4 linked regions of the Coturnix japonica genome follow. The protein of the gene in region 1 binds, or shares a complex with, the protein of each later gene. Links are inferred from orthologs where the notes say so. Each region holds a gene or a part of one and is shown in the gene's direction. Other genes may lie near its edges.

Evidence for each region.
Region 2: ARVCF (region 1) and DDX5 share a complex: the UniProt entries of both Homo sapiens proteins name them as parts of the ribonucleoprotein complex. The link is inferred for Coturnix japonica from reciprocal best matches to the Homo sapiens genes ARVCF and DDX5.
Region 3: ARVCF (region 1) and SRSF1 share a complex: the UniProt entries of both Homo sapiens proteins name them as parts of the ribonucleoprotein complex. The link is inferred for Coturnix japonica from reciprocal best matches to the Homo sapiens genes ARVCF and SRSF1.
Region 4: ARVCF (region 1) and PA2G4 share a complex: the UniProt entries of both Homo sapiens proteins name them as parts of the ribonucleoprotein complex. The link is inferred for Coturnix japonica from reciprocal best matches to the Homo sapiens genes ARVCF and PA2G4.

The regions. Positions count from the first base shown.
Region 1 is NC_029530.1:843,097-850,906, reverse strand, and holds part of ARVCF (armadillo repeat protein deleted in velo-cardio-facial syndrome), read left to right. Parts: intron 1-443; coding exon 444-497; intron 498-2,304; coding exon 2,305-2,396; intron 2,397-4,902; coding exon 4,903-5,004; 3' UTR 5,005-5,016; intron 5,017-5,884; coding exon of another isoform or gene 5,885-5,890; 3' UTR 5,891-7,810. UniProt on the Homo sapiens protein: Contributes to the regulation of alternative splicing of pre-mRNAs.
Region 2 is NC_029533.1:7,252,414-7,259,237, forward strand, and holds the end of DDX5 (probable ATP-dependent RNA helicase DDX5), read left to right. Parts: intron 1-299; coding exon 300-465; intron 466-596; coding exon 597-693; intron 694-776; coding exon 777-910; intron 911-1,028; coding exon 1,029-1,094; intron 1,095-1,547; coding exon 1,548-1,689; intron 1,690-1,784; coding exon 1,785-1,945; intron 1,946-2,110; coding exon 2,111-2,283; intron 2,284-2,471; coding exon 2,472-2,582; intron 2,583-2,790; coding exon 2,791-2,852; intron 2,853-2,939; coding exon 2,940-2,999; intron 3,000-4,243; coding exon 4,244-4,468; intron 4,469-5,065; coding exon 5,066-5,448; 3' UTR 5,449-6,276; downstream 6,277-6,824. UniProt on the Homo sapiens protein: Involved in the alternative regulation of pre-mRNA splicing; its RNA helicase activity is necessary for increasing tau exon 10 inclusion and occurs in a RBM4-dependent manner. Binds to the tau pre-mRNA in the stem-loop region downstream of exon 10.
Region 3 is NC_029534.1:7,444,836-7,453,334, forward strand, and holds SRSF1 (serine/arginine-rich splicing factor 1), read left to right. Parts: upstream 1-3,386; 5' UTR 3,387-3,542; coding exon 3,543-3,736; intron 3,737-4,079; coding exon 4,080-4,264; intron 4,265-4,621; coding exon 4,622-4,794; exon of another isoform or gene 4,795-5,063; coding exon 5,064-5,258; 3' UTR 5,259-7,238; downstream 7,239-8,499. UniProt on the Homo sapiens protein: Plays a role in preventing exon skipping, ensuring the accuracy of splicing and regulating alternative splicing.
Region 4 is NC_029544.1:855,585-863,907, forward strand, and holds the start of PA2G4 (proliferation-associated protein 2G4), read left to right. Parts: upstream 1-3,777; 5' UTR 3,778-3,924; coding exon 3,925-4,012; intron 4,013-5,409; coding exon 5,410-5,538; intron 5,539-6,028; coding exon 6,029-6,134; intron 6,135-6,369; coding exon 6,370-6,439; intron 6,440-6,630; coding exon 6,631-6,723; intron 6,724-7,166; exon of another isoform or gene 7,167-7,352; coding exon 7,353-7,416; exon of another isoform or gene 7,417-8,323. UniProt on the Homo sapiens protein: May play a role in a ERBB3-regulated signal transduction pathway. Seems be involved in growth regulation. Acts a corepressor of the androgen receptor (AR) and is regulated by the ERBB3 ligand neuregulin-1/heregulin (HRG).

The DNA.
Region 1 (7,810 bases):
GGGGTAAAATGTCTTATTTATATAGTGCTTCTTAACTCACAGTAATGAGATGATTGGTCCATTTATCTGGATATTGATAGTTTTCCTTCTCTTGCAAAATGTGCCCTGCCAGTACTGCATACAAGGTGAGAAAACAACATAATCAGTTAAAATGATCTGGGAGAATTTGGGATAGGTTTAAGATGGAACTTTGACCTGTTAAATGGCCTGTTAAATGGTAGTTAGTCCAGAGCAGAAAATAAGGATTTCATATGCTGTTTGGAGAGCTTAAATTAAAGTCCCCTTTCTGAATGGATAGCAGTTGCTGAATAGTTCTTTGTACAGGTCTGAATCCAGTGCTTTAAGGGCCCCTTTGATTCTGAGACCAGTTTAAAAGTACCGGGTGTTGAGAAAAGCAAATGTAACTCGAGTAGTTACAGTTATTCCATGCTTCTGTCTTACAGATAATGAGAAAACTGGGAGTCGTGATATGATACCTATGGATGAACTTGGCCCAGGTAAGTTCATCATAGGTCAAACCCTCTGTCATTTTCAGTAGAGCACACTTTCACTTACGGGGAAGTTGAAGTGTTTCTTTGAGTGATGCTCTCTCATCACTCAAGAAGGATGTGTTCCACACTGACTAATAGTACCAGACCAGTCAGCTTCCTGCTGTGTGGGACAATGAGAGAGCACCTAGTCAGAGCTTGGTTACCTTGGGAAATGGAGAAACACATGTCTTATAAGTTACTGTGGGATGCACTAGACAGCCTTGTGCAGAAATAGCTCTGGTCTGTCAGGCTTTATCAGCTCTGGACAGGAGACTGCACAGAGTAATCTGAAGATCAGTGATGCTTACTGTTGCAGTGCTGCCTCAGGGTGGCTGTGACCCTGAGCTGTCTACAGGAGTGGCAGAACTGTGATCTCAAGGCTACGTGCCAAATCTGAGTCCTCCAAAGCTGTACCTGTGCCTTAGTTAAGATGCAGTCAATCTGCCAAAATCATTATAGAGCTGAGAATTGTTGAAAACAAAGATGCATAGTTCAGAAGTTCCTCTCATACCTGCATGTCTTTAGGCATGACTTCTCCTTTTTCTTCCTTCTTTGTGGGTCTTTATAAGTTGAGAGCTGTGTGAGGGCGTAGATGGATTGACACTCAGAAGGCATTTGGTCATGTCATTTGTAATGACATAAGAATGTTGCTGCTGCAGAATGAATGGCAGATACTTGGTAAAGCAGTAGAGAAGACAAGGAGAAAGGTGAGAGGAATAAACGAGCCAAGAATGTTAAGTGCTTCTACTGACGAAAATAACTTTGTCTATAAACTAGATTATATTAACTGAAAATAATGCATTTATGCATTGTTGCAGTAAGATCGGTATAGGTCTCCTTCATGCCCCTGAAACAGTTAATTTTGATAACTTACTCAGGATCTAAGAGCCCAGTTTTCAGAATGTGAAAATGTTAATGATCTCTCAGTTATATGGGTAGAAACAAAAGCCTACAGGAAAATACAGATTTGAGTGTCATTTACTCCAGATTACGATGCTGTCAGAGCAGAGCAGGAGGCAATCTCATTGTAACTGATAATGAGGGAAATCTGATGCATCAGGAAGATCAGGTTTGTGTTGGCGGAACTGATTCAAAGCAGAGTATATTCTGAAATATGTAAAGCTGCGTCTTCGTGATGCTCTCTCACTTTTCCTCTGTGTGCTGATCGTGCTTTCATATTGTTTCTTAGTTGTCAAGAGAAAAAGCACCACCAGGTGCTGCTTTGGAATGAAGGGCAGTCTTAGCACAGCAGGGTTTGCATCAAGATTTCTTCACACTCAACAGTCTCCTTTTCTCAGTGCACTGAAAGGGGCGATTTCAAATTACTGTTATGTCCTGTTAATAGTCAGGCTCAGGATGAGTGGGAACATGCTGCAGAGCATTCAGAGAATGAACACAGCCAATTAATCAGGCTGCTAAGCAAGGAACACAAGATTGGAGCTGAATTTGGAGCTCATTAGCCACAAGGCTTGAGATGACAACTTGCTGCTTTCCTTAGGCGCACTACAAAACTGCAGTAGGTTGGGATGAAAACAGTTCTGCTTGCTAATGAGTGCCAGCATCTGGCAGTGATAGGGGGGAAAAAAAGCTTTTCTGTTTTAAACTGGTGAAAGTAAAATTTCAGAGCAGGAGCATATGTGAGAAGCAGGCTGCCAAAGTCTGTGGGTTTTGATGGTCTGTTTTCCTGTTTCTTTGCTGAAGAATACTGCTAGCATCAGCTCTATTTTGCTCTTTGTTGTGTTTCGTGCCTAACTGTCATATTATTCCTCCTCAGATGGATACTCTACCATCGATCACCGGGACAAGGAGCGCAAATACAAGACCAGCGATAACACAGGGGACGCCTCTGAGAAAGAACCTTTAAAAGTGAGATTCCCCTTATTACTGAATGCTAGTTAGTGCCTTTAGAAGAAACAGAGCCTGGTGTTCTCAGCAGGAACAGGGTAGTTACTCACTAGAGGGCTGTAAAGGGGTTTTTTGGTGTCTTTGCTTTTTTTGCGTGCCCAATGTTAAGATAAAAGCACCATTTCCTAACCTGGCACTGGATAACTAGAAATAAAAACAAAATGCTGCTTTCCAGTGCAGAAGTAAGTGCAGAATGGTATATTCTTGTAAATGAATGAGGTTGTAAAAAAATAAAGTTTTTGTTCTGTGGACTTTGTTCAGGCAGCATTCCCTTGCCCTATAGTGAATAGCTGCATTCAATCTTTATTCTGAGAACGGTCACTTCAGAACATCACACGGCTTTATTGTTTTCACCATGAGATGTACATGTCAGCCTGTGCATCTGTCAGAGCAGCGTGGTGAGCAGCATTCATTTCAGCAGCACTCACTCAGAGTCCTGACTGCAGGCGATGGGTGTGGGCCAAGGAGGTGGAGAGGAAGGAGAGATGTTCGTACTTCTGAGTGTGCGCCTCCAAAAACAAATTCAGACCATTTTCTAATTTAACAGCAACAACAACAAGTCTTTCTTCACAAAGTGTTTTGCCTGGAGGGTTGTGTGCAGATGTATCTTAGTGGAGTCTGTTTAATTTCTGTTGCACTGCTGTGCCTTTTCAGTAGATCTTTTTGTTTAAAAGTTGCTTAATGCTTCTAACAATGCTGTGGCCATAACTTCTCCCTGGCCTCAAAACAAGGCTGTTTTCCCCTGGGTAGGTCATTTCTGAGGGGAAAAAAAAGATTCAGGGAACCACGAATCAGCGATAGGAAGTACTGCTGTTAGTCTGTAAAAAGCTGTCTGTTATAACCTTCAGCATGTTGCTGATGATATCGGAAGATCCAGGGGATTTGTGTTCACCAGAAATGATTAAACTTGAGTCAGTTGAAAGAAAAACACTATATTGAAGTGAAATTAAAATGTGATTTGCAGAAAAACCTTTCTGTTATTTGTGGACCAAGAAGGCGTCCTTCTGTATCAGCCTATGTTAACTTGCCTGTTTGTGCATTTCCTTCTGTGTCCTCCCTTTCTGTGAAGGTTTATGCTGGAGAATGGCTTAAATCCAGCTGCAGTTTTTAGCACAGTTCACTCCTTTTCAGTTTGCCAGCTCTGGGTATGGCTGCATCCTGCTGGAGGCTGCCCACTTTAACTTTTCAATAGAATTGCTTATTGTCTTGTGTCAATGCTGCAGTGCCAAACATGGCTTCCTGTTTTGAACCAGCGAGCCCTGAGTAAATGGGCTGGAGTATTGTGGCTGATCTGAAACACTGCTGATCTCTTAGATTCAATGGGTAGCTCACTTCCCACCCCTTTTCTCTTTTGAACAGTTCTAGAAATAAGCGAATATCAGGGCTGTAGATTGTTTAGGAAGCCTCTGCCACTCAGAGCTCTTTGATAAAAGAACAGCCATTACTGTTTTCCTGTTTAGTCATCTTGCAGCTTCTTTGCTAAGTCCAGATGTGTGGTGACACCCATTAAAGTGATCCATTGGTGATCACCTTTCTGTCTATACCTTCCCAGTACATTTCTGCTTGACAAGGTCTGGCAAAGACAGAAGGGCGTACTCTCACTTTGCCACTTGGAGGTGGTTGTGCTCTCATTTGTTTTTTTGCAACTGATACAACCTGATTACTGAATTCACAGTGAGTGCTCCCTCCTCCAGTGTTGCTCTGAAGTGACAAGAGATGGCCCAGCTTGAACCAGTATTAATGTTATAAACTTTCTCTCCCCTCCTAACAGTCTAATGTGTCATTATGAAGGTGCAGTGAGATCAGATGCATTGAGTGACATAAGTATGTTGATCAGTACAAGCTGGACAGAAAATGTCTTTCCAAGAAAATAGGCTAAGGCAGAAGAGTTGACAAATGCTGGTTATTTTTGCCACTCAGAGTTCATGGAAGTGATTTCCAAAATCGTATAGCTCAGCCCAAACTCGCAGTGTGAAGCACAACCCAGAGCTCCAGTGAGCAGCTGCTTTGTGTTTAAAGGAATGGGATAAAAAATACTTCACCTCAGTAATGTGGCCACCATAGTTTGTGCTGCCTCCTGGTTTTAGGGATAAAGGGCTGTCTGAATTCAGCCTGTTATATGACTCAAAAGCAGTCACTGGTGCATTTTCAGCTGGAGCAAAGTCTGAGTAGCTGCTACTCTTCCTTTTCCCTGTCCTGAGAAAGAGAACTCTGGGGTCTTCTAGTTTGTAAACTGTTCAATAACTGTGGCTTTGAGGCTCAAGAGTGGCCAAACACTTTGAATAATGATGGCAGGGAAGTGCAGCCTTTGGCTGCTGCAAGTGCTCTTGTTGGTATTGTGCCTTTGCTGATCTTGTTTCTTTCTCCACCACTAATTTTCCTTTGTGCTCCTTTGAGCTGACTTGTTTGGTGGTTTTGTTGATTAATCCGCTCTGTTTTGCTTTTAACTCCTCACCCTGTGCTGCAGAATGACACAAATAGGAAAAACATTAACAGGAGTAACAGGGCTTCGGTGAATCTGGTGGATGCTCGTGACATTAAACCCCAGCCTGTTGACTCCTGGGTCTAATTTGCATGCATGGTAGGTCATTTTAATGGTAATTGGTGCTAGTAATTAACTTGTCTTGTGCATGATCTGTATAGCTGTGGGATCTCTTCAAGGCTAACTGCTAACTGAGTCCTTTCAGAGAAATGAAAATACATTTGAAAACGTGGTATTTATATTATTCGTTGTGTCTTTAATGAAATGCACTCCAACGCTTCTGTTTGATTAAAAAACAATCTGTCAAATATCTGGACAGCACAGTAGTATCTGGAGTGACTGGCTGTCAGCCAAAATGTGGAAGATTTCTCCTGGTAGGCCATGGGAATGAAATTAAATAGTGTGTTTCAACTTCCAAGCATTTTTTTTTCCCTTTCAGACTCATTATAAGGATTAGCCTGAGACTAAAAAAATAAGTGTATCCTTCTCTATTTATGGATGTCCCCTGAAGTTCCCTACAATTACAAGGCCTGCCCATCTGCAGGAAAGCTGCTGCCTGCACACATTTACTTTGCAACGGGGGGTGGTTTTGGTTACACAATTAACGTTAAGGCACAGTTCCCACTTCCCAAGTCTTTCTTATTCTGTTGTTAAAGAAAGGCGCCTTTTTGTCGCGTTCTAGCTCTCTGCCTTTGCTGTGAGCCAAGTCCCTCAGTAATGTCACTGTCCTTTCTTTATTCCTGCTGCTGCTAATCTGTCTCCTGCTGTTTTGCTGGACAGTGAATGCATATGGGTGGGACTATGAATGAAGTTTGTGTTCACTTTTCTCCAAGTCAGACCTTTCCACAGACCCATGTATCGGGGATAGATTGGGATGTCCGTTCATTGTTCTACCACTAGGTGATGGAGATCACCACCTATGCCATGTCGCTTGCTGGTATTAATCAGTTCTGGCTTTATTTTGCAGGGCTAGAGTTCAACCACATTTTTTTTTAATTGAGGGGGAGAAAAAAACATTGAATTGACACAGAGGATTTCATCAGTCACCACTGCCATTCCGATCTGGAGGGCGCTGCATCACTGACAAGGCTGCGGATTCTAAGAGAATGCAGGGAGAAAACACAACTGACTGCCATTGCCAACCCCAGAGCACCATGCCTTACAGCAAGACAGTTTGCTTTTTCAGTCAGTTACATTCCCACCAGACACAGCCGCCTCCTGCTCCCTCCCACTCCTGCAAGAATAAAGCAAGCAAGAAAAGAGAATCCAAGTTCCATCTGACTGGCTGCATTCTTAGGTGACTCTTACGTGTGAAAGGTGCCAAGAATGAGAAGTGAAGGTCATGCAGCAGCAAAGAGGACAGTGAACTGCAGAGTATTTGAAATGATACCGTAGGTGTAGTCATGAAGATAATAGCACTTTTATGGTTTGGGTCCCATTGTTTTCTTTTTGTTTTGGGGGGTTTATTTTGAGCTGTGAATCTTAACATTTTTAAAGCGTTTTGGAAAATGTTGAGGTTTTCTTTGTTATTTCAGCAGGAATTGCAGGAATGTTGAGTGGGTTTATTGAATTTCAGTGAAGAAAGAAAGAAAATACAGAACAAAAAAATACTAAATGCTGGTCAAATGAACTGGAGAGTAAATAACAGAATCAATGCAAGCTGTATAAATCTGCTTTTAGAGTAAGCTATATCAATCACAGTGCTATATTATCATTATAATCTGATGTACAGTACTTCTGCCTTTTGAATTCTGTAATGGCTCTGCTTTTATTTCCACATGAAGGTTTTAGTGTCCCCAGTTCAGAAATGTGTGCTGAGAAATGGAGTTGGCTGGCTTTTTATTTTCTTAATCTCAAAGTTTGCAGTAAGGAGCTTTTATATTTTAATTGTACCAGTGTTGCATTGATGACAATTAACAATTTCTTTTGCTGTAGCTGCTAACACATTGGAAGAAATAGAAGCAGGATGTCTTATTTTGAACATACTATACATTTTAGGTGAGTCTGTCATTTATATTTGCTGGTAAATTTATCACTGTTGGATCCGTGTTTGCTTGGGGTTGTAGATCCTGATGGAAAATGCCATAAAGGGAACAGATGAGACATTTTTAAAATCATCATCATTTCTGCGTTCCCTTGATTTTGTTTTGAGGTTACATATTTTAGGTGGTACGAAAATCATCCGTGTACAAACGCTCTCCTCTTAGATGCCATGGTGTGCTCTGGATAAGGCAGAATTTTTACCTTGTGAGAACAGAGAACATACACTGCATATACAGATCTGATAATGCCATAAACTAAGTGACTTTGGATCACTGGTTTTTCTCCAGGCATTGGTCGAGGGAGGGCAGCGGAAGAGCATAGGAACCAAATATCTCACCAGTAGTATCAGAAGGCTTTTGCTGATTTTGTTTGGTTGCCACATTTCATTCTAAATAAGCTCCTAAAATGGTGTGACTGGAAAGCACATTTTTGAGCCTAGCAAATGTCATTTGGGGTTTTCAGTGCCTGCCATTTCCTTTATAATTAAAAAGGGGAAATATCCAACGCCCTTGCCTCACCCAAAATATTACTGTAAGAGTAAACGTCAGAAGTTTTTGTTAAAAAAAGAAAAAAGAAAAAAAAATTTAAAAAAAATTTAAAAACACACAAAAAAAGCAAGTACCGAGAGCTTTCTATCTCCATGAGTATATTAAAAATTGACATGAATACATATATATAAATAAATAAATCTATATATCTATATATATATTGTTGTGCAAAGGATAGGTTAATAAAACCATGTAAAGTAGTTTGCAGGAGAGGGAAGCATTTGTTGATTCAGGGAAAAAGACTGATGCCAGAAGCTGTCAGTGGTTTGGATGATACATGTGCTCCTTCACCCTTCTCCCTT
Region 2 (6,824 bases), on another chromosome or scaffold:
ATTTTGATCATGGAGTAATACAGCGGTGTTCATGTTACTTCCTTACCTGTGCTGGATCTTGCCAGTAGGCCATTCTGTTTTATGGGAGCTGCAAAGTAATGCATTACTTCACCTTCTGAGTGTGAAGATAGGTGGATTGCTGCATCTGCCACTTAAGTTTTGAAAGCTTAATATCTCATAGGTGGGGTTGGTAACTCTGAACTGTGAAGTTACAGGGCATACCACAAAGACAGCGGTTACATAATAGCAAGAGGAGAACAAATTTTCTCTTGGATCCTAAATATTGATATATTCTCTAGGTTTGGAGCCCCTCGTTTTGGAGGAAGTAGAGCTGGTCCACTTTCTGGGAAAAAATTTGGAAACCCCGGGGAAAAGCTGACCAAAAAGAAATGGAATTTAGATGAACTGCCCAAATTTGAGAAGAACTTCTATCAAGAACATCCTGATGTAGTCAGACGAACTGCGGTATGTACCCACCCAGCTCACGCAGAAGTAAACAAGCACAAACATGCTTAAGGTCATGGGACCCAGCGTGCAGTAACTTCACTAACTTCCGTGCCAAAGCTGTTTCCAGTAATGAGGTTTTTCTTTTGCAGCAAGAGGTTGAGCAGTACAGGTCAAGCAAAGAAGTCACAGTGAGGGGCCATAACTGTCCAAAACCAATCATAAACTTCTATGAAGCTAACTTTCCTGGTAAGTGCTGGCCAACATATTGTTTTATTTTTTTCCTGTCTTGATTTACAACTTGTGAGTTAAGCTCTAATTTTCTCTTCAAGCAAATGTTATGGAGGTGATTCAGAGGCAGAACTTCACTGAGCCTACTGCTATTCAAGCACAGGGATGGCCTGTTGCCCTGAGTGGATTGGATATGGTTGGAGTTGCACAGACTGGATCAGGGAAAACGCTGTCTGTAAGTTGTGATTATGATGTGGTGTACTGCTGAAATCCAGCAATGAAAGTACAGCCTGGTGTAAGGCAGGCTGAGCTCCTGGGAAGAAACTATAATGTGGCTTTTTTCTTCTGAACAGTACTTGTTGCCTGCTATTGTGCATATAAATCATCAGCCATTCCTGGAGAGAGGAGATGGACCTATTGTAAGTATTCTGAACTGAAGGAGGACCTTAGCTGCTAGAGAAGGTGGATTTCTCACAGTCTAATTGTCCATGTTAATAGGAGTGCATAGTTCTTAATCATGGAAACCTTTTAAAGTGGCCCATGTGTGGTGTTTTGGGTTTCTCTTTTTCTAGTCTCCCAGGAACAGCCCATAAGCTCTGATACGGTTCTATAAAGTTTTACAGAACAGAGCTGCTCTTCCATTTTGGAACTTGCCATCCACTAGAAGCTACAGTGAATTTTGAGTATTTTATCACACATCACTGGCTTGTGTTTAGTAATGGAGATGTTACTTAACTTTGTTTACTTGGTTTGAGATACTCAGTTCTACTTCAGTCAGTCTGGCATTGAAGTGGTGTATAACAACTTTCTGAGTTAAAATGTAAGACTAGAAATTGCATTTATGGAACTAAATCTGGGCATCTTACCTCTAGTGTCTTGTGCTGGCACCAACTCGGGAACTGGCTCAGCAAGTGCAGCAAGTAGCTGCTGAATATAGCAGAGCATGTCGCTTGAAGTCTACGTGTATTTATGGAGGTGCTCCAAAGGGACCACAAATTCGTGATCTAGAAAGAGGTAAGGATAAATCTGGATGCATCTGTGTGAGGTGATGCGAAAACTGCTTATCTGACTTACTGGTTGATTTTTTTTTTTTCTTGTAATTTTTTTAGGTGTGGAAATCTGCATTGCAACACCTGGAAGACTTATAGACTTCTTAGAAGCTGGGAAGACCAACCTCAGGAGGTGCACTTACCTAGTGCTTGATGAAGCTGATAGAATGCTTGACATGGGTTTCGAACCTCAAATCAGAAAAATTGTGGATCAGATAAGAGTGAGTATAGATGGTAGCTGCATTTAATTGTACTACAGAAACAGCAGTGTTTGTTAAAACAAGGATAAGGATAGCGCAGTTAGCTCAGACTTCTGGGTAGACTTCTGTGTTTATGTTTTACTTAATGATATGTTAATTTTGTACTGATAAAATCTTTCTCTCCAGCCTGACAGGCAGACTCTGATGTGGAGTGCCACGTGGCCAAAGGAAGTCAGGCAGCTGGCTGAAGACTTCTTAAAAGAATATGTCCACATCAACATCGGTGCATTGGAACTGAGTGCAAACCACAACATCCTGCAGATTGTTGATGTGTGTCATGACGTTGAGAAGGACGACAAGTGAGTAGTTACTGGGGGAGGTAAAACACTCAGTATGTTTCTGACGGTTGATTTAACTTCTGTATCAACCGAGATGAGTTTAGTGGGTATTAAATGCTAATCTAATACTGCTAGAAGCCCTCCATGTTAAAAGGGGAAAGAAATTGCACAGTGTGGGTAGTGAATGTTTCATTATCTCTTCATGACAGGCTTATTCGTTTGATGGAGGAAATAATGAGTGAGAAGGAAAATAAGACAATTGTTTTTGTGGAAACCAAAAGACGTTGTGATGATCTTACCAGGAAAATGAGGAGAGATGGGTAAGTTGAAGCACGAACTTAAATGATCCACCCCAAAAGAATCAAGAGCACGCTTGGTCTAATTAGTGACCACCTGTGATGGTGTCCAGCTGTCTGACCAGGTGTCAGCTGAAAGGCTAAATCCAGAAGCTGTTGAGAATGTCCCAGTAGCTGTCATAATAATGGAAGTACTCAATTATTTGAGGTTAATCAACTTCTGTATTTTCAGATGGCCAGCAATGGGTATTCATGGTGATAAAAGCCAGCAGGAGCGAGACTGGGTTCTAAATGGTGAGTATTTCAGCAGTTTGGTAAGCAGGCTGCTGTCTATCTGGTATTTGATGCAAAGAGACTGATGAAGAGTTGCTTGTGTTACAGAATTCAAACATGGAAAAGCACCAATCCTGATTGCTACAGATGTTGCATCCCGAGGTCTAGGTTAGTACAACTCGTAATGCCAGTTGCCCAAAGTTATTTAAAGAAAGTCTATTGCTTTCTTTAACCTCTGCATTTTTCTAAGTTTTCTTCACATAAAGGTGCAGTCTTTGTGGCAAGGCCTAGGCATGACAATCGGAGGACTCGAGGGGGATGGAGGACTAGTGGAAGTGATCGGCTGGCTGCTTCCAGTCAAATAGAGAGGTGAAAACTGAGAGCATTGTGTGCCAGTAATCTTCAAAAGGCAAAGTTCATCCTTTAAACTACTCCCCCATAAACTGTTCTCTCATGAAATAAGCAGCCTCATTCACAGTTCACTTTGCCCTGGTATTTCTCTTCTCTCCATGCTTTGCATGATTTGCCATGGTGCAGTACTGTTAGTTTTGTGCATACTGTCTGCTGTGATCTGTGGGTCTTTGAATTTCGGTGAGTTTGAAATGTTGAGGAAAAGAAAAATCTTGAATGTTCAGTGAAATTTTTTTTCTAACCATGAAATGGAGAGAGCAGCTTTAAAACGTACTAAGCCTTGTACAAATTGGTGAGTACTGGCACATGAAATCTGAGCAAAAGTCCACCTCTCACCTTAGCAAGTGGGGCAGGAAAGCATTGGCTTTTCTAAATGCCTTTGAAAGTCGAAGTTCCTCCACCTATATGTAGTCGTCATGTCGAGACCTGCCAGAGAGAGACACATTCTCAAGTGAACGCTGGCTTCTTGGAAGTGCTTGCCTAGACGAGACAGTGCATAAAAACAACTTGGTGACTTTTGGGGGACAGGTATGTTTTTCTTGCAGCTGCAGTTCAAAGGTCTTGGCAAGACGAGCAGTGTGGCCCATTTTTTTTGAGCTTCTAATGAGTGTGTATGTGAAGGACCTTGTATGTTTTTACTCTAAGGTCCTCAAATGAGCACATGAAGAGGCTGCTGTGAGCTTTAGTGGCCCTACTGCAAGAAGCATTCAGATGTCACTTGATGATTTGTAAAGGGGACTCTTGAGTTGGGAATGACAAGCAAATGCATACTCCTTTATGGTAAGGTTTTGGATCACAGGGTGGGTGATAAGACGGGAACAGACGGAGTGTGCATATCTTCCTCTTCCACAATATTCGTGCAGAAATGGATAATTCTAACACTGTTCTTTGCAGCCATTATTTCATTGAAAGTACTATTGTCTAACGTTTATCTTCGATTTGGCTGTTGTGGTGTGCAAAACTTTGTACCTCGCTTTTTGCCACACTGCAACACTTTACAGATGTGGAAGATGTGAAATTTGTCATCAATTATGACTACCCTAACTCCTCTGAGGACTATATCCACCGAATTGGACGAACTGCCCGCAGTACCAAAACAGGCACAGCATATACATTCTTTACTCCTAACAATATTAAGCAAGTAAATGACCTCATCTCTGTGCTTCGGGAGGCTAATCAAGCCATCAACCCTAAGTTGCTTCAGTTGATTGAAGACAGAGGTTCAGGTGAGTGCTATTGTTAACGATGCACAGCTTTTCTCTCAGAACAAACTGGCAATCTTTAGCCTCTCAAAAATGGATTCATATCCAGCTTACTTGCCAGTTATGGTGACCTCCAAAGGTGTTAAAACGCTTGTGAGCAAAACCTGCCCTCACAATGCTGTGCTGTAGAGCATCTTGTGAGCTGTGGCTGCTGATGTCAAAGATGGGCTTCAGGCTCATGTGTTCTGCATTAAAACATCTTGCAGGGAGGCTCAGCTGTTTGGCTTCCTCTTACAGTTAGGAGATAACTGCATGTAACTCCTATTGGTGAGACCAAAGCAGCTTTCCTTCATGCCACTGCTCATATTACAGGGGAGAGTGTATGACCCTGCCTTCATTAGGGAAAGGGCTCTAGCTTCATGTAAATGTAAATCTTCATGTAATTCTGTGCCCAATGAGTCCAGTTAAAAACTGGAAAGCCTTTTCAGTAGACTTGACTTGCTGACAAAGGAAAAGAATGTTCATGAGTTGAACTCACCAGATGCTAATTAAATGCAGCCTTGATTGCTCTTGTCTATCTGATATCTATCAGATATCTTACTTGTCTTGTCTCTTTACTAGGTCGTTCCCGAGGTGACCGACGTGACAGATACTCTGCGGGCAAAAGGGGTGGATTTAGTAGCTTTAGAGAGAGGGAGAACTTTGAGAGAACTTATGGTGCACTAGGAAAGAGAGACTTTGGAGCCAAAGCTCAGAATGGGGCCTACAGCGCCCAGAGTTTCAGTAATGGAACTCCTTTTGGAAATGGCTTTGCAGCTGCAGGCATGCAGGCTGGCTTCAGGGCCGGTAACCCTGCAGGAGCTTACCAGAATGGCTATGATCAGCAGTACGGGAGTAACATTGCAAATATGCACAATGGCATGAACCAGCAGCAGTATGCGTATCCTGCCACTGGTGCTGCTCCTATGATAGGTTACCCAATGCCAGCGAGTTATTCTCAATAACTTAGTGTATTTAAATGTCTCAGTTTTTCATAATTGCTCTTTATATTGTGTGTTATCTCAGAACAGGATAGTTATTTAAGAAATGGGAAGCGCAGAAATGACTGCAGTGCAGCAGTAATTATGGTGCACTTTTTCGCTATTTAAGTTGAATATTTCTCTACATTCCTGAAACAATTTTTAGTTTTTTGTACTAGAAAATGCAGACAGTGTTTTCAAAGTAAATGTACAGTGATTTGAAATACAGTACCAGAAGGCAGTGCATGGCCTTCCAATAAAGATATTTGAAGACCGAATTTTCTTTCAGATGGCAATTTTCTCAACATGTGCACAACTTTACACTAATGGAATGTCAAATGTTTTTATATTCTAGAGAGGTTTCTCAACTGTGTCTGATTAAACATTTAAGCTTATATTAAAAACAAACCAGCCTTGCCTTGATTGGGCTCTAGATCGCTTAGCATGGCAGGCTCTGTTTGGTGGGGAAGAAAAGCAAAGCTGGCTACTGAATAGCAGTTGGAAATGGTCTTCTTCCTTGTCTGATTAGCATAGGGCCAGTTTGTTTTCTTTATTTTGGAGAAGATTCCTTGGAGTGATGGTGTAGCTGGGCATCTCGCTAACCAAAGCTCTGCTCAAGTGGTGTTGCTAACGAGCTTCTGCCACCAGTGTAGGAAGCTTTTTTGCAGCACCGTAACTGTTGCATATGTGCAGACTAGGCTTGAGTGTAATGTGTCTGCAGCTGTCAGGCCTTGTGAGTTAGCATGCAGGCTTACTATGAGCTTCAGAGAAATGGGAAGATCTTTAGTATTAAAACTTCAAATTATACTTAAACTGGTATTGAGCGGTGATTTCTTTGCGGCAGCGGGAGGAGGGAAGCGGGCTGTTGAGTGAATGGGGGGGTTCTTTGTTCCTGACATTTGTACAATCCCTGTGTGCAGCTGAAGCCTCACTGCTCAGCACAGGAGGGTTCTGAGGCATTTCCTTGCTGGGGTCAAGCAGAAACACTCAATTCTGGGCTTGTTACTGAATGCTTTCAACAACAGTATCTTAAAATTCAACTGAATGTTAACCTTCAGTTCCCACTTTTAACAATAATCATTTTTTAATGGTAAAAATGCTTAACCACTCTTTGCTAATGTAAGAATTGGGCAAGATTCTGTCCACGTTATTCTGAATCTCAGTCTGTGATTTCAAGCCTCTTGAACCTCACTTGCCTTTTCCCCATCTTACTGTGCTATCTTCCCCCCAAGTCAACTTGTGCTACTATTAATTACACTGTAATCCATTATTTTCTTAACATTTATACTTCTGTAAGCTCCTGTCACTGTAGCACTCTGAGCTGTGAAGAACAAGCAGGTTTTCTGACAGGGAATAGCACC
Region 3 (8,499 bases), on another chromosome or scaffold:
GTGCTTCAGAGATGTTACAGTCACGGCTCTTCTGAGTAAGTCATGTTTAATAGCTTTGGGGGTGGAAGTGTTATTGTGATCAGTGTTCCAGGATTTCTAAAACCCAAGCAACCCACCCAGCACACCATCCTTGTGCTGTTAGCTCAGCTACAGGCATCACGTGTGGGAGCAGCTACAGAGCACAGGCAGTGGGGCAGTGCCCCATGGCAGCACTGTGTGCCCTGCAGGTATATTCAGCCTCACTCTTAGCAAATAACTTCCATCACCTTTCAAGTCTTTGTGATGACCCTCCTCCTAATGCACAGGGGCTGCATCTCTGCCAGCTCTTGTAGCAGCTTTCCTCACCCCACCCTCCATCCGTGTTTTTCACCCAGGATGGTTTCCAGGCAGAATTTGCACAGCCAAGGTGTGCATCAGGACAGGCCACAGCATGCGCACAACAAATCTTGTTGCTTATGCATCAATCTAAATCAATAACATGAGCTGTGCCACTCTTCCCTTTATGGGAAGCATTTCCCACCTTGCAGGCTTTCATTGCCCTGTTGTTACACTGAGTTCCTCTGAAAAAATCACCAGTTGCAGTTTGGTATCACAAATAAACAGCATGGAGACACCTCCAGCCCAACACGTAGAGCCATGGAGACAGTCTGTGTGTCACTGCTGACCTGCCAGCAGACCCAGCTCCCCAGAACCAATGTCATGGATCAGGAAGTTTGCACAGCTCAGTTCTACAGTAACTGTTCCAGCTCACAGTGCTGTGTGAAAACGGCCCTTTTCTCGCAGACAATCAGGGCTTTAGGGGCTGTTATTTTGCAGCACAGTGTGATTAGTCAGGATTAATCCCTGCCCAATTCTGCAGCGCTTTAGGAGCAGGTTCTCCCACCCCAGCCCTGGGAAAGCCACCACTCTGCAACGCTTCTGTTTCGTCATCAGTAGAAGTGAATGATGAGCTCAGTGCAGAGCCCTGCAGGGTCTTCACTGTCTTCACTTCCATTCTGAGAACAAAAACCCGTCATTTTACAACAGCTGGTTGACGTTTTTGGTGTTGTTTGGCTTTGTTTTGCTATTGGCCATTTCTTACCTCGTAGTTTATTTCCCACATAATTAATGTTTAATGATTCTCCACATACACATCTTTTCTTTTTTCCCAGAAAGCCAAAAGCAGCTCTGGAAATGCAACCCAACATTCTGCAGCTTATCCACATGCTTTAAGTGCTCCACTGATAACACAGAGCTCAACAAGGGAATGAGAAAGAAAACATCCAATAATTCTATAAAGAGACACTTCATTAAAGCAATTAAGGCAATCATTTAAAGTAGTTATAAGGACTATTAACACACAAAAGAAATTGTGCAGCAGGGTTTTAGCAAACCAGGCAGATTCACCATTATCTTATGACGCCTTTAAGAATAACATCCAGCATTTATTAAACCCCATTCCCAGGCTTAGGCTGCAGCTTTCTCCAGACATGGGGAGAGTTTGTTTGGGGTCTTTGCAACCAGTTCACACTGGAAAGCATTAAAGCTCCATAAAGATGCAGGAAATCCCCCAGAACCATGAGCTGTATGTGGGTAAAGCACCGCTTCTGCTGGTGGGCTTTGCTCATCACATCCTCCTGTGGTTGACAGCAGTCTTTAAAGCACCAGCAATGCAGCACAGGCATCACTAATGTCAGAAACCATTAGAGCAGAGGACGTTACTGCACTTTAACCCACAGGGACAAAAATAAAAGGCATTGATAATAACCAAGCACACTATAACTTTGTCATGAAAATGTTTTCACTATGGGATGTTTTCTAACTGTAAGTCACTGTCTGTGGGAGGAATACACGCTTTGAATTAACAAATGAAAACAAAGTGAGCACAACAGCCACTGCTAAATGCTCGGACACATTCCTCAAACTCCCCTCATCAACTCAGGAGCATAATGGCTTTTCTCCATGCTCAGCTGCTGTTTCCCCATCCCTGTGGTGCTGAGATTCAGCCCTCCAGCACCAGGCAGGCTCAGCGGTGCTGGATGCAGGCAGGCAACCACTGTGTGCCCCAGTGCCACTTCCAGCCCTCAATGCATTGCCACATCTGCAAAGCAAAGCACAACGTCCAGGCAGCCAAGTGTGAGCCAACAGAGCAGGGACTGCTCTGCCCTCATGGGTCAGGCAAAGACTTTATGCTGTATTAAAGAAAGAAAAGTGGATGTTGGAGTTTCTGTGTCACCACAGAGCAGCTACAGGCCAAAAGAATTCTTGTTGTTAAACCAAAGCCTGGCTCATCTAATTGCACCCTCATTACTTAAAAGCAATTTATACGTTCAAAATTACATCTGCTGCCTGAAGAAATGTCAGAGACGTGTGAGTAACAAGGGTAACATCCCGGTGTGTTACTGTGCCTTCACATCAATTACAACCTCATCAAGAAAACAAACTCAGCACGGCGTTATTCTCGTGCCCCCATAGTTCGGCTGTGCTCATAGGAAGGTTCTGCCCATAGTTAGGCTGTGCCCTTAGGCCGGCTCTGCTCACACCCGTACACAGCGCCCGCCATCGCCCCCAGTTCCGCTCGTTTCCCACCCGCCCGGTGTTTGCACTGCTGTTCCATTCATGACTCAGTCCCCATCACACCCTGCCGTGTTCCTGCCCTTTATTCGTATCCCGTTGCCGTCCCGCTGCCCGCCCCGCCGCGTTCCCCTGAGGCGGGCGGTGACGCGGTGCCCGCTCCGTGCCCTCGGGGCGGCCATTTTGCCTCCGCACCGAGCCCGTCCCAACCGTCCCACACAGTGTCCGCTGAGCGGCTGACGGACCCACACGGCCCGCTCCCCGTGCACCCCGTGCAGCCGCAGGGCGGATCCGCCCGCAGCGCTTCGTGCGGACACGGATCGGTTCGGACCGGCCGGGAATGGACGCTCAGTACCGAGCCCGCCCGCCCAGCGCTGCGCACGGCCCGACCCGCCCGCGGTGCATTGTGGGCCGGGCCACGCCCCGCGCCTTGGCGCCAAGAGCCCCGAGCGGCGCGGTGCATTGTGGGACACCCCCAGCGCCGGCCGGGACTTCTTGGCGCGAGCGCCGCACCGGAAGTGACGTCACACGGCCCGGCGCCCTGAGACGGCAGCGGAAAGAAGCGCGGCGGTCCCGGTGCGGACAGCGGGGATCGGAGGCGGATATTCACGTTCATCCCGACCTCGCTGGCAGGAGCGGAGCCTCTTGTGCGGCCACAGCCGCTTTGGCGGAGCAGCGGAGGCGAAAGGCAAAAGAGAGGAACTACTTTTCCGCGCTGCCGCGCATGCGCGAGGGCGAGAGCGCGGCGGGATACTCGGAACGCATTGCGGTCTCGCGGCCCGGCGGTGCTGCGGCGCGGGGTGAGAGAGATCAGTGCGCGAGATCAGTGCGCGCTGCGAGCGCGAGGGGAGCCGCGGTCGCCATTTTGAAGCGGCGGTTGCTGGAGTCGCCGTGTCCGCTCCCGTCCGCACGGCCCGGCCCCGCGCCCGCCCGCCCGCCCGCGCTCCGCGCCCCGGCCCCTGAACGCCGCAGCCATTGCCGACCTCGGCATGTCCGGAGGGGGCGTGATCCGCGGCCCGGCCGGCAATAACGACTGCCGCATCTACGTGGGCAACCTGCCCCCCGACATCCGCACCAAGGACATCGAGGACGTGTTCTACAAATACGGCGCCATCCGCGACATCGACCTGAAGAACCGCCGCGGGGGGCCGCCCTTCGCCTTCGTGGAGTTCGAGGACCCGAGGTGAGCGCCGCGGGGCCCTGGGGCACGGGCGGGAACGGCTCCGCCGGGCGCCGATACCCCCCCCCTCCATTCCCTCCCTTCCTCCACGCGCGGCGCCGCTCCCGCTGCGCGCTATTCCACACACACACACACACACACACACACACACACACGCTCGGCTCGTTGCGCTCCGGGCCCGGCGCGGTGCCGCCGCTGGGGGTGGCGGTGATGGCGGTGATGGTGGTTGTGGTGCTGATGGTGGTGGTGGGGGCGGGGTGGGGCCGCGGGTATTGGGAACAAAGGCGCTGCGGGGGGCGGCGCGTGGCAGGGCGCGGCCGCGCTCACCGCCCGTCCCGACCCGCAGGGACGCCGAGGACGCCGTGTACGGGCGGGACGGTTACGATTACGATGGGTATCGCCTCCGCGTGGAGTTCCCTCGCAGCGGCCGGGGGACCGGCAGAGGAGGCGGCGGCGGCGGAGGGGGCGGAGCCCCGCGGGGCAGATACGGCCCCCCGTCCCGGCGATCGGAGTACAGAGTGATCGTCTCGGGTGAGTCGCTGCTCTCTTCCCCCGGGTCCTTCGTGCTGCCGTGCGCGGGGGGCGACGCGGCTCCGCTTTTCCCTGCGAAGCCTCGGGATGGGGGAGGGGTGCTGGATGCTGTGGGCTGTGTGCAGGGTGTTCTGCTCGTGTGCTGCGGGATGATGCTGGAATTGCAACACCGGAGGCCTTGGGTTCGAATCCCCTGTGGCGCAAGTGGCAGAAGTGCCGCTCTGCTACACAGAAGGCTCAAATCGCGGGGGGTTGGACTCGATGATGTCTAAGGTCCCTTCCAACCCGCACGAGACTGTGATACTATGATATGATCGCACCATTGGGTTTTAAAGCCAGGTGTTGCTTTTTATCCAGGACTGCCTCCAAGTGGAAGTTGGCAGGATTTAAAGGATCACATGCGTGAAGCAGGTGATGTATGTTATGCTGATGTTTTCCGAGATGGAACTGGTGTCGTGGAGTTTGTACGGAAGGAAGATATGACCTACGCTGTGCGAAAACTGGATAACACTAAGTTTAGATCTCATGAGGTAGGTTTCACGCTTACTTGTTTTTGGCCAGAATTGGATACAAAGGGCTTAACAGTAGGATGTGAAGGTAAGGAATGTGTGGTGATCATTGCGTTAATACACGAAGCAGCTAAACTGAGTCTGCTGTCAGTTTGTCACGAAATAGACTTTATTAAGAGTTTGATGTCTATTTCTGTGCCTTAGTAAAGATATCTGCAGTCTGTCAGCATGCCTAAAACGATGGCCCCGAAGCCTAGACCTTTCAATCGAAAGTTGTGTCTATTCAATAGGGAGAAACTGCCTACATCCGTGTTAAAGTTGATGGTCCAAGAAGTCCAAGCTATGGAAGATCTCGGTCACGCAGCCGTAGTCGTAGCAGAAGCCGTAGTCGAAGCAACAGCAGAAGCCGCAGTTATTCCCCAAGAAGAAGCAGAGGATCTCCACGCTACTCTCCCCGCCACAGCAGATCCCGATCTCGTACATAAGCGATCACTAGCTCTGATCTTTTTGTAGAACCCCATGTTGTACACAGTTTTCCTTTACTCAGTACAGTCTTTCAATATTATTTTTTTTTAAATTCAAGCTGTTTTATTCAGATTGGCTGAAGTGTTGAATTGCATTCTTGTGTAAAATCCCTAGTGAGTATTTGCTCCGTAACAACAACATTCCCCCTCATGTCTTTGGTAAACTGTATTTTAATTGATGTCAGTCAGGATTGTTTCAATTTAGTTCTAGTTAAATACCAACACTCTTCAAACTGTGGTATTGCTGTGTAAATGTCTCAGTGTTCAGCTATGGTTCATGCGAGCTGGGGATGTTGGGATGTTTGTGGCTAACTTGTCTCTTCTGGGGGATCTTATATTTTATCTTGCCTTTTCGTGTGTCTTTCTGTAGACATATCTGAAGAGATGGATTAAGAATGCTTTGGATTAAAGGATTGTGGAGCACATGTCAATCATTTTAGGATTGTCAAAAGGAGGATTGAGGAGGATCAGATCAATAATGGAGGCAATGGTATGACTCCAAGTGCTATTGTCACAGATGAACTTGGCAGTATTGACCTTATACTGAGACAGGTGAATTGAGAACGTGCGCCTGCGTGTCACTTCTTCAGGCACCTCTTGGTCACTGCGGGCTGCAATTGCTCTGTTCTTTAAAACCCTCTTGGCAATTGTGGCTCAGTACTTGCCGGTGTAATTCCTTATTCCATTCTAGTCTTTTTTTAAAGGAGTAAACCGGGACAGGGGTGGGAGCATTGGTTTGTCCCGCGGCATTTGGTTCCAAGCGTTAACGGCCCGCAGTACTTCCACGCTTGCGGATCAAGGGTATCTTTAAATGGGAGTATAATATCAATACTGCTAAAATCTGCATGTCCTCTGTGTGACTGATACAGCGTTGCTATTTCATTTCTTTTAAGTATCAGAATGAAAGGGAAAAAAGCCAAAAACCCAAATCCTAAGAGAACCTGGTTGGGAATCGTTTGTCAGCCCTTCCCCAGCCTAATTCAGAGCTGACTCACCGTATTGAGAGCTGCAGTTAGTTCCTCTGTTACCTTCCAGCCGGGGGTGCTGGCCGTAGCTGAGAGGCGCAGTAGGTGACAGCTTTAGCAGTAAAACTTTTCCAATTTCATAAACATTTTTTGCAACCACAGAAGCTGTAGAGCACCACCGTACGAGCAATGAGTATGTTGGCATTTTTAGTTGACATATGTAAATATTGCAGTGTTTCCTCCAAATAATTAACGTTTCTTAAAGAGAACAAAAGATATAGCATCACCATTCAGAAGCTTGTTTTGGGGAATTGATAGTTATTACTGTACATCTGTATTAATTGATGGCAAACATAACTGATCATTCCCCAGAATCCTATTTTTTCATTGCGGTATCTAACTTTTTGCCTCCTCTTTTTTGGTTTTGCTGGTTATAAAGGTTTGGATTGGAGAGGGCTCACTGGATCCCAATCCTTGGAGCTGGATCATTGGATTCAAATCATAATGTGGATAGGATAGGGAGGCTGAATGGCAAGGATTCATGGAGCGGGATCAGATTACCAGGAACGTAGGAGTGGATTCCTGCCCCAACCAAACCGCATTCGTGTGGATTTTTTTATTCAACTCAATTGGCTATTCCAAAGCTTTTTCTTTTCCCATTTGTGACGATTGGAGCCCTTATGATGCACGATGGAGTTTGTCATTTTTTGGTAAAAGGAGCAAAGCGAGGACCTGGAGAGGTAACGCTGGAGCGATCTCCTTGGAAGGATTCAGCACGAGTAGATGGTAAACGTTGAATGGGGAAAAAGGGGGGTTTGTTTCAACACCAAAAGTTGTTTCTCTAAATTCCAAGGCGGAAATTGGAGCTAAAGATGACGTAGGCTTTCAATTGGCTGCTGCCTTTATTATTTTTTTTCTTTTATTTTTTTCTTTTTTTTTTTTTTTTCCTTTGACAAATAAAATTTTTACAAAATCACGCCCGGTTCTCATCATTTGTTGGTCACCAAATCCCCGCTGTTCACCAGGAGCTGCAGCATTGTTGGCTCTGCACAAAAAGGCTCTTGTTGTGTCCAACAAGGATCTGCTGTTCCACAGGAAGCGCCGATGTTTGAACTCCTGCGTGAAGGAGCAGCGCCCCGTGGGACACGGCTGGGATTGATTGATTGCTTAGGGGAAAAGAAGGAAGAGTTGGACCCGCCGACAAAAGGCTCCTCGCTGTTGGGGATGATAACAAACAGCTGGAAGTGAATGTGAGATCAGCCCAGCGTTCACACACTGCGGGCTGTGTCCCCACACCTGGCTGCTCCAGTGCTGGCAGCCTTGGAGAGTCTCCGTGCAGGAGCCACATCCAGCGTGAAGGATGTGGATGTTCCTTCGGTTTCCTGATGAGGTAACAGTGAACTTAGTGAGTTCACTGCACAACCAGTTCAAGTGTTGACGCCGAGCAGGAAAACTTTCCATAGGATGTGGGGTTGTCTGCCAGTGTCTGAGTGCTGCTGTGTGCAGGGACGGCTGCCTGGCAGTGGTTGCTGCGTGGCTGGAGCTCGCAGTGCAGAGCGGGGCAGAGGCTCGCTGTGCTTCCAGGCAGGAATGCAGATACGTGCTCAGGGTGAGATGAGCAGCTTTGGGCTGGGCAGCTGCTGTGAGTCTGGTACAGGATGTTGTGTCCGTGCTGAAGTACTGTGCTGCCAGCTGAGTGTGGGGGCTGCTCTTTTATTTTTGAGATGCAATTGCTTATTTCGGGTGGGAGAGCAGCAGAGATGAGAGCTGACCTGGGGGTGCACGGAGATGTGGTGCCTCTTGGCAGCAGGGTCAGGCTGTGGGAAGTGAGGGAGGGGGGCACACAGTGTCAGTGCAGGAAGGTTGGCCCCAGACCCAAACCCCTGTGGGAATCTGATCTGTCACCTGCATTCAGGAAAGGGTGAGCCTGGAACAGTTGTAAAGCAAAGGAAGCAAAACTGTATTGGAGAATGAAAGCTTGAAGGGCTTGCTTTAACTGGAGAGGGCTGGAAAGAAAGCAAACTGTGCAGGAGAGGAGTTGGGACTGTGAGAAGGGGTTACAGTCCTGTGATACAGGAACCGGTGCTGAGCCAGGGAGTGCAGCCCAAGTGAGTATTTCTGAGCAAGCTAATATGGAGCTAATTGATGTGCTGTAGTGCTCAATTAAGGGGTTGTTAGCTGACTTCAAGATGTAGGAAGTACCTATACAGGCTGTCATGGTCGAGGTGTGAGAAGGA
Region 4 (8,323 bases), on another chromosome or scaffold:
GACCTGCTGGAGAAGGGCGAGCGACTGCCACAGCCCCACATCTGCACCATCGATGTCTATATGGTGATGGTGAAATGTGAGTGGGGGGCACTGTCTTGGCAATGGGGGGGGGGAGGCTGCTCACAGCCCCCACCCCACTATCATCCTCTGTGGTTGCCCCCAGGCTGGATGATCGATGAGAACATCCGTCCCACCTTTAAGGAGTTGGCCAATGAATTCACCCGCATGGCACGCGACCCCCCCCGCTACCTGGTCATCAAGGTGGGTGAGAGCCCCCCCCCTCAGCCCCCTTGGGATCCCACAGCCCCTCATGTGCCCGTCCCCACAGCAGGAAAGTGGGGCCGTGCCGCCCGCCGAGCCCCCCACCCTGAGCGACAAGGAGCTGGATGAGATGGAGACGCTGGAGCTGGAGGAGGAGGAGCTGGATGTGTCCTTCGGCCTCTGCCCCCCCCGGCCACGGGGCAGCTGCACCCGGGTGAGCCTCCTACCCCATAACCCTGGGGCCACTGATGTGGTTTGGCTGCATCCTGGGCATTGGGTCCTGTGACGGGTATGGGGCAGAGTGTGGGTCTGGGGTCCTCTGTGGCTCCCCTAAGCCATCACCCTAGTGGGGCCCCAGCCCCATTGCCACAGTGGGTAATGGCCCAGCTTGATGCCAACCCCCCTCTATGTTCCCCCACAGAGCCCCAGCCTGCTGAGCCCTCCAGCTGGATACATCCCCATGAACCAGCCTGGCCTCGGCAGCCGACAGGTACCTGGAGGGGTAGGGAGGAGAAAGAGAAGGGTCTGGGGTTGGGACGAGCAAAGGGTTTGGGCTGCATTGCATTCCATTGCATTGCAGTGGATTTCATCTCAGTTCAATTCATTTTATTTCATTGCATTGGAGTTGGGCTCAGGGGTGGGAGGGATTGGGGGGCCTATGGGGTCCTCCCAACTGCCGTGAATGGGGGCCCTGCTTCTCTTTCCTTCCTGCAGGGGTTGGATTAAAGGGTAACTCTGACTGTAGGCTGGGCTACCCCCCCCCCAATCACTGCCATGTCCCACAGGGCACTGGGACCCGTCCACCACGTCGCAGCCGCCAGGAATCTGTGGGGAGGACGGTATCAGAATCATCCGAGGGTCGGGGCACGGCCTCAGAGTTGGACCTGGCCGAGGGGCTGTCGCTGTCGGGCAGCCTCTGCCGCAGCCTTCGCTCCAGGGGGGACAGTGCCTACCTGTCCCAAAGGGAGAGCTTCCCTCCCCCACCCCCCAGCTCTGAGGGCAGCGAGGAGGACGCCAATGGCTACGTCACACCCAGCTGCGCCGGACGGGGTGAGGGTCCCAGCTCTGGGGGTCTCATTCCTAATTGTGAAGGGTCCCTTCCCAGCAGGGTTTGGGATGTGGGTGGGGGTCTCTCCTTGCAGAGCATCTGGGGGGTTCCCATAGGTTGGGGGTTTTTGTTCCCAGAACTGAGTTTGGGGTTCCATCTTTGCAGGGTTGGGGTTGGAGGGCTCAGCATTTGGCTGGGTGGTCCCTTCCCCAAACCCCTTCCCTAAACCCCTTCCCCAAACCCATTCCTGGCACAGCAGGGCCCCCCCAGGACTCAGCCCCAGTCCTATGTGCAGAGTGGGGAGATCTGGAGGGGCACAACCACTGTCTGACCTCCACTCCACAGAACCAGAGCCCACAGGGGGCTCAGTACCAGAGCTGGACGAGGAGTACGAGTACATGAACCGGCAGCCTGGAGCCTCCCTACAAGCCCCCCCACCACGGCCAGCATCGCTGGAGGAGCTGGGCTACGAATACATGGAGGTGGGCTCAGAGCTGGGCAGCCCCACAGGGCCCCCCCTGGGCCGTGGGGAGGAGGAGGAGGACTACGAGTACATGAACAAGCAGCCGCGGCTGAGCCGCTCGCTGGGCAACATGGTGGGGGGGCTGGGACCCCGGCATGAGGGCTGCCCCCCCCGACACGACGGCTACACTGACATGAGGCCTGGGGAGCCCACCCCGGCCCCAGCTGAGGAGCAGGGCTATGAGGAGATGGAGGCGGTGCTGGCCCCCCGTGGCCCTCCCTGCCCCGGCTGCCGCAGCCCCCCCGGACCCCCTCCAACCTGCATGAAGCCCCTGCGCAGCCTTGAGGCCTCAGACTGTGCCTTCGACAACCCCGACTACTGGCACAGCCGCCTCTTTGCTAAGGTGGATGCCCAGCGGACTTAGAGACCCCCCCCCCTCAGCTGTTTACACTGGATATGAAGGATCATCCCCCCTACACTGGTGCTGGATGGAGGGTGTGAGACAAAGCCCCATGGGAGACATGAAGAATGGGATTGAGGGGGGGGGAGGGCAGCCCTGCCTGGGTTTGGGGCTGATTCTGAACCCCCCATTGGGAGGGGGGGCTTGGACCCCTCCCCTCATTACTGCCATACCCCAGGGCTATTCCCAGCACCCCCCTACCCATGGTGCTCCCCATGTGCACGGCTGCAGCAGCAGGTCCTGGCTGGGGTCGGGGGTCCCTGCTTTGAGTTGGGGTCCCTGCTTTGGGGTTGGGGTTGGGGGCCCTACCTGTGGGGTTGGGGTCCTCCCCTCATTACTGCCATACCCCAGGGCTATTCCCAGCACCCCCCCCCCCCATGGTGCTCCCCATGTGCAGGGCTGCAGCAGCAAGTCCTGGCTGGGGTTGGGGGTCCCTGCTTTGGGGTTGGGGATCCTGCTTTTCAGTTGGGGTCCCTGCTTTGAGTTGGGGTCCCTGCTTTGGGTTGGGGTCCCTGCTTTGAGTTGGGGTCCCTGCTTTTCAGTTGGGGTCCCTGATTTGGGGTTGGGGGCCTTACCTGTGGGGTTGGGGTCCTCCCCTCATTACTGCACATACCGCCAGGCTTATGCCCAGCACCCCCTCCCCATGGGTGCCTCCCATGTGCAGGGCTGCAGCAGCAGGTCCTGGCTGGGGTTGGGGATCCTGGCTTTTTCAGTTGGGGTCCCTGCTTTTTCAGTTGGGGGTCCTGCTTTTTCAGTTTGGGTCCTGCTTTACTCAGTTGGGGTGCCACTGATTTGGGGTTGGGGGCCTTACCTGTGGGGTTGGGGTCCTCCCCTCATTACTGCCATACCCCAGGGCTATTCCCAGCATCCCCCCTCCCCATGGTGCTCCCCATGTGCAGGGCTGGGGGCGGGGGTCCCTGCTTTGAGTTGGGGTCCCTGCTTTTGGGTTTGGATCCCTGCTTTGAGTTGGGGTCCCTGCTTTTGGGTTGGGGTCCCTGCTTTGGGGTTGGGGTCCCTGCTTTGAGTTGGGGTCCCTGCTTTGGGGTTGGGGGCCCTACCTGTGGGGTTGGGGTCCTCCCAGCTGCCGTGGATGGGGGCCCTGCTTCTTTCCTTCCTTTAGGGGTTGGATTGAAGGCTAACTCTGACTGCAGGCCGCGCTACCCCAGCACCCAACGGGGCTCTATGGGGCAGGCCTGAGCCGTGCCCGTAGGCCTCATAGAGGCCTTTTCAATGCACTCCGGTCACCTCCCCGCTCCAAAGGGGGAGGGAGTCGGGTTTCGTTTGTTAACGTGAAAATAAACACGATTGGAATAGAACCGGCTGCTGGTGTGTGATGTGATGGGGGGGATATAGGGGCTAAAAGGAAAGGCCTACCAAGGGCTGAGACCCCGACCTGAGCCCACTAGGCCCAACACAAGTCCTTCACTTCCGCCATCCGGCCCTACTTCCGGTTGGATAATCCGCGCTGCCTTCTGGGAACGGTAGTCCTTAGCTGGGCCTTGCCGCGAGTACTGCCGGGAGTTTATGTAGTCCTGAAAGTGGGAGGAGACTCGGCTTCCCAGCGTGCCCCGCGCGGAGCCCGCGCTCCTGCTCAGCTCGCGCTCTCTCGCTCGCGTTCCCGGGGTCTCCTCAGAGCGGCGGCGGCGGCGTCGGGGGGGGGGAGAACGGGCGGCACCGGCGGCAGCTCCGAGTATGTCGGCCGAGGAGGAGGCGGCCGAGCTGACCATCGCCGAGGACCTGGTGGTGACCAAGTACAAGATGGGGGGGGACATCGCCAACCGTGAGTGCAGGGCCGCGGGGCTGAGGGCTGGGGGGGGGCTGCGTGGCGTTAGGCCTCACGGTGTGTGTGTGTAAATAGGGGGGGGTGGTCCCGGTAATACACACCGATGGCGGCTGTTGAAGGGCCGGATCCTGGTGTTAAGGGGTGGGGAACCGCACGTGGCCTCCGCTCCCCACGTGCACCGGGATGGGGGGGGGGAGGGCAGGGCAGGGCCGGGCCCGGCGGGATCCACGCGGTTTTCCCCCGTCCCGAGTGGATCCGATCGGTTCCTCCCGGTATAAACGAGTGCTGGGCTCGGCCACGAGGCCACGGAGCCCCCCCGGTCTTTTGTTCCCACCCCCCCCCCCTCCTCCTGCCGGGATCACTGCCATGAACACTACATGGACACTGCCCTGTCCCCCCCCCCAACCCTCTGCTGTTTGCTCGTTTATTTCTGCCCACAGCCGTTCCCTCTTGGCCCCTTCACGGTGCTCCCCGAGCCATAAGGACGTGGGATCCTCTCAGGAGGGGCTATAGGGGCCGTACTACCTACATACAACGCAGCCCCGGGGTGGGATGGGGTCATTGCGCTGTTGTTGCTGCCCTGAATGCAGCTCGATTAACAGCAGAGGGTTTCCCTGCTTGGTAGAGTGGTGCCTATGGGACACAGAGCAGCTCAGAGGGGTTCCCTGCTTAGTGTGACAAACACCAGCTCTCTGTCTACCCTTCCTTAGGTAGGTAAGGATAATAATGCCCCTTGTTCTCACCTTTCAGCCCCTTGCTATCAACTAAAGGTCTTTATTACAGCACTCCCTCTTATATTCCTCACCAACATCTGGGACCTGTGGAAAGATTACTGAAGTAATATGAAGCATAACTGCAGTGCTGGGCTCACAATCCTTCCCCTCATTCTATAGAGGCACGTTGACACCCATCCCAGCAGCCAACTACTAATTGTACACACCACAATATGCCCCAGTGTGGGTGCAGCGCTGCCGTACACACACAGTTGTGCAGAGTAAGGGCGGTTTCCTCCTGGTCCCACACGCCCGCGGCTGCCCCTCTGCTCTTTGATGTGCTGTTCGTCTCCCAAGCAGTTTTCAAACCTGTTCCTGTAGCTCTGAGTGCTGCGGAAGGAATGTGGGAGAGCAGTGTTTCTGCTCAGCTCCTTTGTGTGCCAACCCTCCGTGCACCTCGTGAGGCTGCAGTGCTTCACCTGTGCACGTCCCAGCATAAGTTGGTTTGCTCCTGCCTTGGTTCTCAAGAGGCAATATGGATTGAAATGGGTTCTCTGCATATCTCCAGCTCACTCAGTGCAAAGCTGAATCCAGGATGAAGACTAAAGTCATTAACAAAGCAGACTTGGTGCTGTGTGATGAGCTTGGTTAACGTGTTCCATGTCTTGCGTTGCTTTACAGGGGTCCTACGTGCTGTGGTCGAGGAGGCGAACTCGGGAGCATCGGTTCTGTGCTTGTGTGAGAAGGGAGATGCCATGATCATGGAGGAGACGGGCAAAATCTTCAAGAAGGAAAAAGAAATGAAAAAAGGTGAGGCCTGCACACCAACGTGGGTCACTGGGCTGATCCTGCTGAGCTGACATGAGTGGGCAGCAGTGCAGAAACCCAACTCGTCCAGCTTGTCCTGCTTGGAAGCATCACTGCTGAGCTGGTGCTTCCCAGTTCAATGCTCCACTCACTGAAATAAAAGAGTTACTTTGGATAACAGTGTCCTTCCTTTGGGCAAGGCCGGCCCTGTGCTCAGCAATCAACCTGTAGCTGCCATATAAACAGTGTGACACTTGAGTGTGTCACTGAGTTGAGTGTGGAGAGTTGGGGTCCCTTTTGTACACGTCTTACTGCTGAGGATCAATTTGTTTGATAGCTGCTGGGGCAGGAGAGTGCCACACACTGCTCTCCTCGTGCTGTTTCACCAAGGGATTATTCAGTGGGGCACCTTAGCTTTCCAAAGCTCAAACTTAGTGACAATCCACACTGCCTGTACTGTGTCTTCATGGACTATTCTCTTTCTCCTTTACAGGTATTGCCTTCCCAACGAGTATATCAGTAAATAACTGTGTCTGTCACTTCTCCCCATTGAAGAGTGACCAGGACTACATCCTCAAAGATGGAGACTTGGTCAAAATGTAAGCATCTTCATTATGTTTCTCTTGCATCAATGCTTGCTCTTGGCATCCAGGCTTTGCATTTTAGTCCTGTTTGCTGTGTTAAGTACTTCCTCGACGTGTCTAATTACAGAATATAGCAGCTAATCGAGTCAAGCTTTATTAAATATACCTGCATCTTCGAATGCTTTGAGAAGTCACACCAGTTTCCCGAGCCATTAGGCCTCGCCTGTAATTAACTCTCTTTGTGTTGCAGTGACTTGGGAGTCCACGTCGATGGCTTCATAGCAAATGTAGCACACAGTTTTGTCATAGATGCCTCAAAGGTAGGTTGGCCACAGGTTTTCTTTAACAAGGGAAGGGACTAATGGCAGAGCTGGGAAGCCAGAAGTGCTCCTGCTCTCATTTAGATCCCACACACTGTATCTCTATCTTTAGGCAGCCAGAATGGCAGTCTTGCTGATAAGAGGGAAAAGGAGTTGTTCCCTACAAGCCTTTATTTTTCCTCTTCTTTCAGGAAAAACCTGTGTCAGGCCGTAAAGCTGATGTCATCAAGGCAGCTCATCTCTGCGCTGAGGCCGCGCTGCGTTTGGTAAAGCCTGGAAACCAGGTGAGGGAAACAGGGTGTGTGAGTGTGCCCTGATACAGGGAGAGCTCTGCAAAGATGGGCTGTGCATAAAAATATAAAGGCCTGTGACATCGCCTGGGAAGAATGGCCCATCTATGTGGGGAATCTGAAGGCAGCTGTTTGCAGACAGCTGAGTGCTCCTGGGAGCACCAGGGTGGGTAGCAGCAGCTCTGGATCCCTGTAAGGACCCATAGAGGAGCAGTGCTGCTTTTCCCATCCTCTCTGAGCACACAGCTGACCCTCTGTGCCATGCTCAGCTCTTCCTTGCCCACTGTTCAGACACCTCAGCAGCCATAGGCGTTCCCCTTCAGCACCATGTTACTATTACAGTAACCTCCAGCACTGCTCTCAAGCTCCCTGTGTTACCTCCTAAAGGAATGGTGTGTGAGAAGGCACCGGGTGCAGTGCAGGAGGCTGAGCTGACCTCATGTTCCACGTTATTTTTATTGATGGGGGATTAAAAATGGAAGCCTGCCACCATTCCTCCTTTTTTTGGAGGTGTCAGAGCACCACTTGGTTTTATCACCAAACCCTGCCAGGTGAAAGTTAACAGTCGTGCTTCTGGTTTGATTTCTAAACCCTTAATGTGTTTACATGTGTTCTTCATCCAGAATACACAAGTGACAGACGCGTGGAACAAAATAGCCCACTCGTTTCACTGCACACCCATTGAAGGTAAGGGCTGGGGAGCAGCTGATCCAGAGCAGCAATGTTTTAATCGCACACTCAGTTCTCATCTGCCCCCATTCAAACTCTGGGGAGCATTTCCTGACTACAGGTTCTATGTGTGCCACCTCTAAACACAGCAGCCTTTGCTATAGAACCCTTTCAAAACCATAGATTCTTCTTTCCCCTCTGTATTATGTTTAAAAGGTGTGTTCATGTAGAAACAGTAGATGTCGGTTTCCAGGAATAGCAGTTGGCATTCCAGCTTTTGGATCTCCCATTGACCTCATGCCAATCTCTTGGCCCTTTGCTTCAGCCCTGACCACATGTAGTTAAAACCCCTTCTATGAATACATAAAAGCTTGTTTGTAATGCAGGATCCATCGCAAAAGATGCCCATAGATGTGCAGGGTATGTAATTTCCTCCCTTACAACCAGAAACTGATTTGTTTTTTCTTCACATTGTTGATAAGGGGTGGGTGGGGAGGCCCTGGGACAGCTCCTTGTAGAACTGAGAATGCTGAGCTCTTGTTTAAGAGGTGCTGAGAGGGCTCAGCGTGACATTGGCATGTGCAGATGCCTTTCTCCCAATCAGTGACATCACTGATTAGCCACAATTAGACCAGTCTGCTGTTAATTCAATTTCCTGAAGTGCTGTAAAGCTGGCTCGGTGTCTTTGCTCGCCTTGACCCAGCCCTGGAACGTCAGCTCCCTGTTCTTGTGTGGGATGGCTTTGTGGGTCTCTTCAATGCTTTGCTCCTTTCTATGTGAAAAAGCATGGCATGAGCTGCAATGAGGAGGCGGCTGCTCGCGCTGTCAAGGGATTTTGAGCAGCCACTGTTTTGGAAACAGCCAAGTGCTGTAATTATCCAGGCAGTGGCAGCAACTTTAGGCCCCAGCTGATGGAAACAAACAG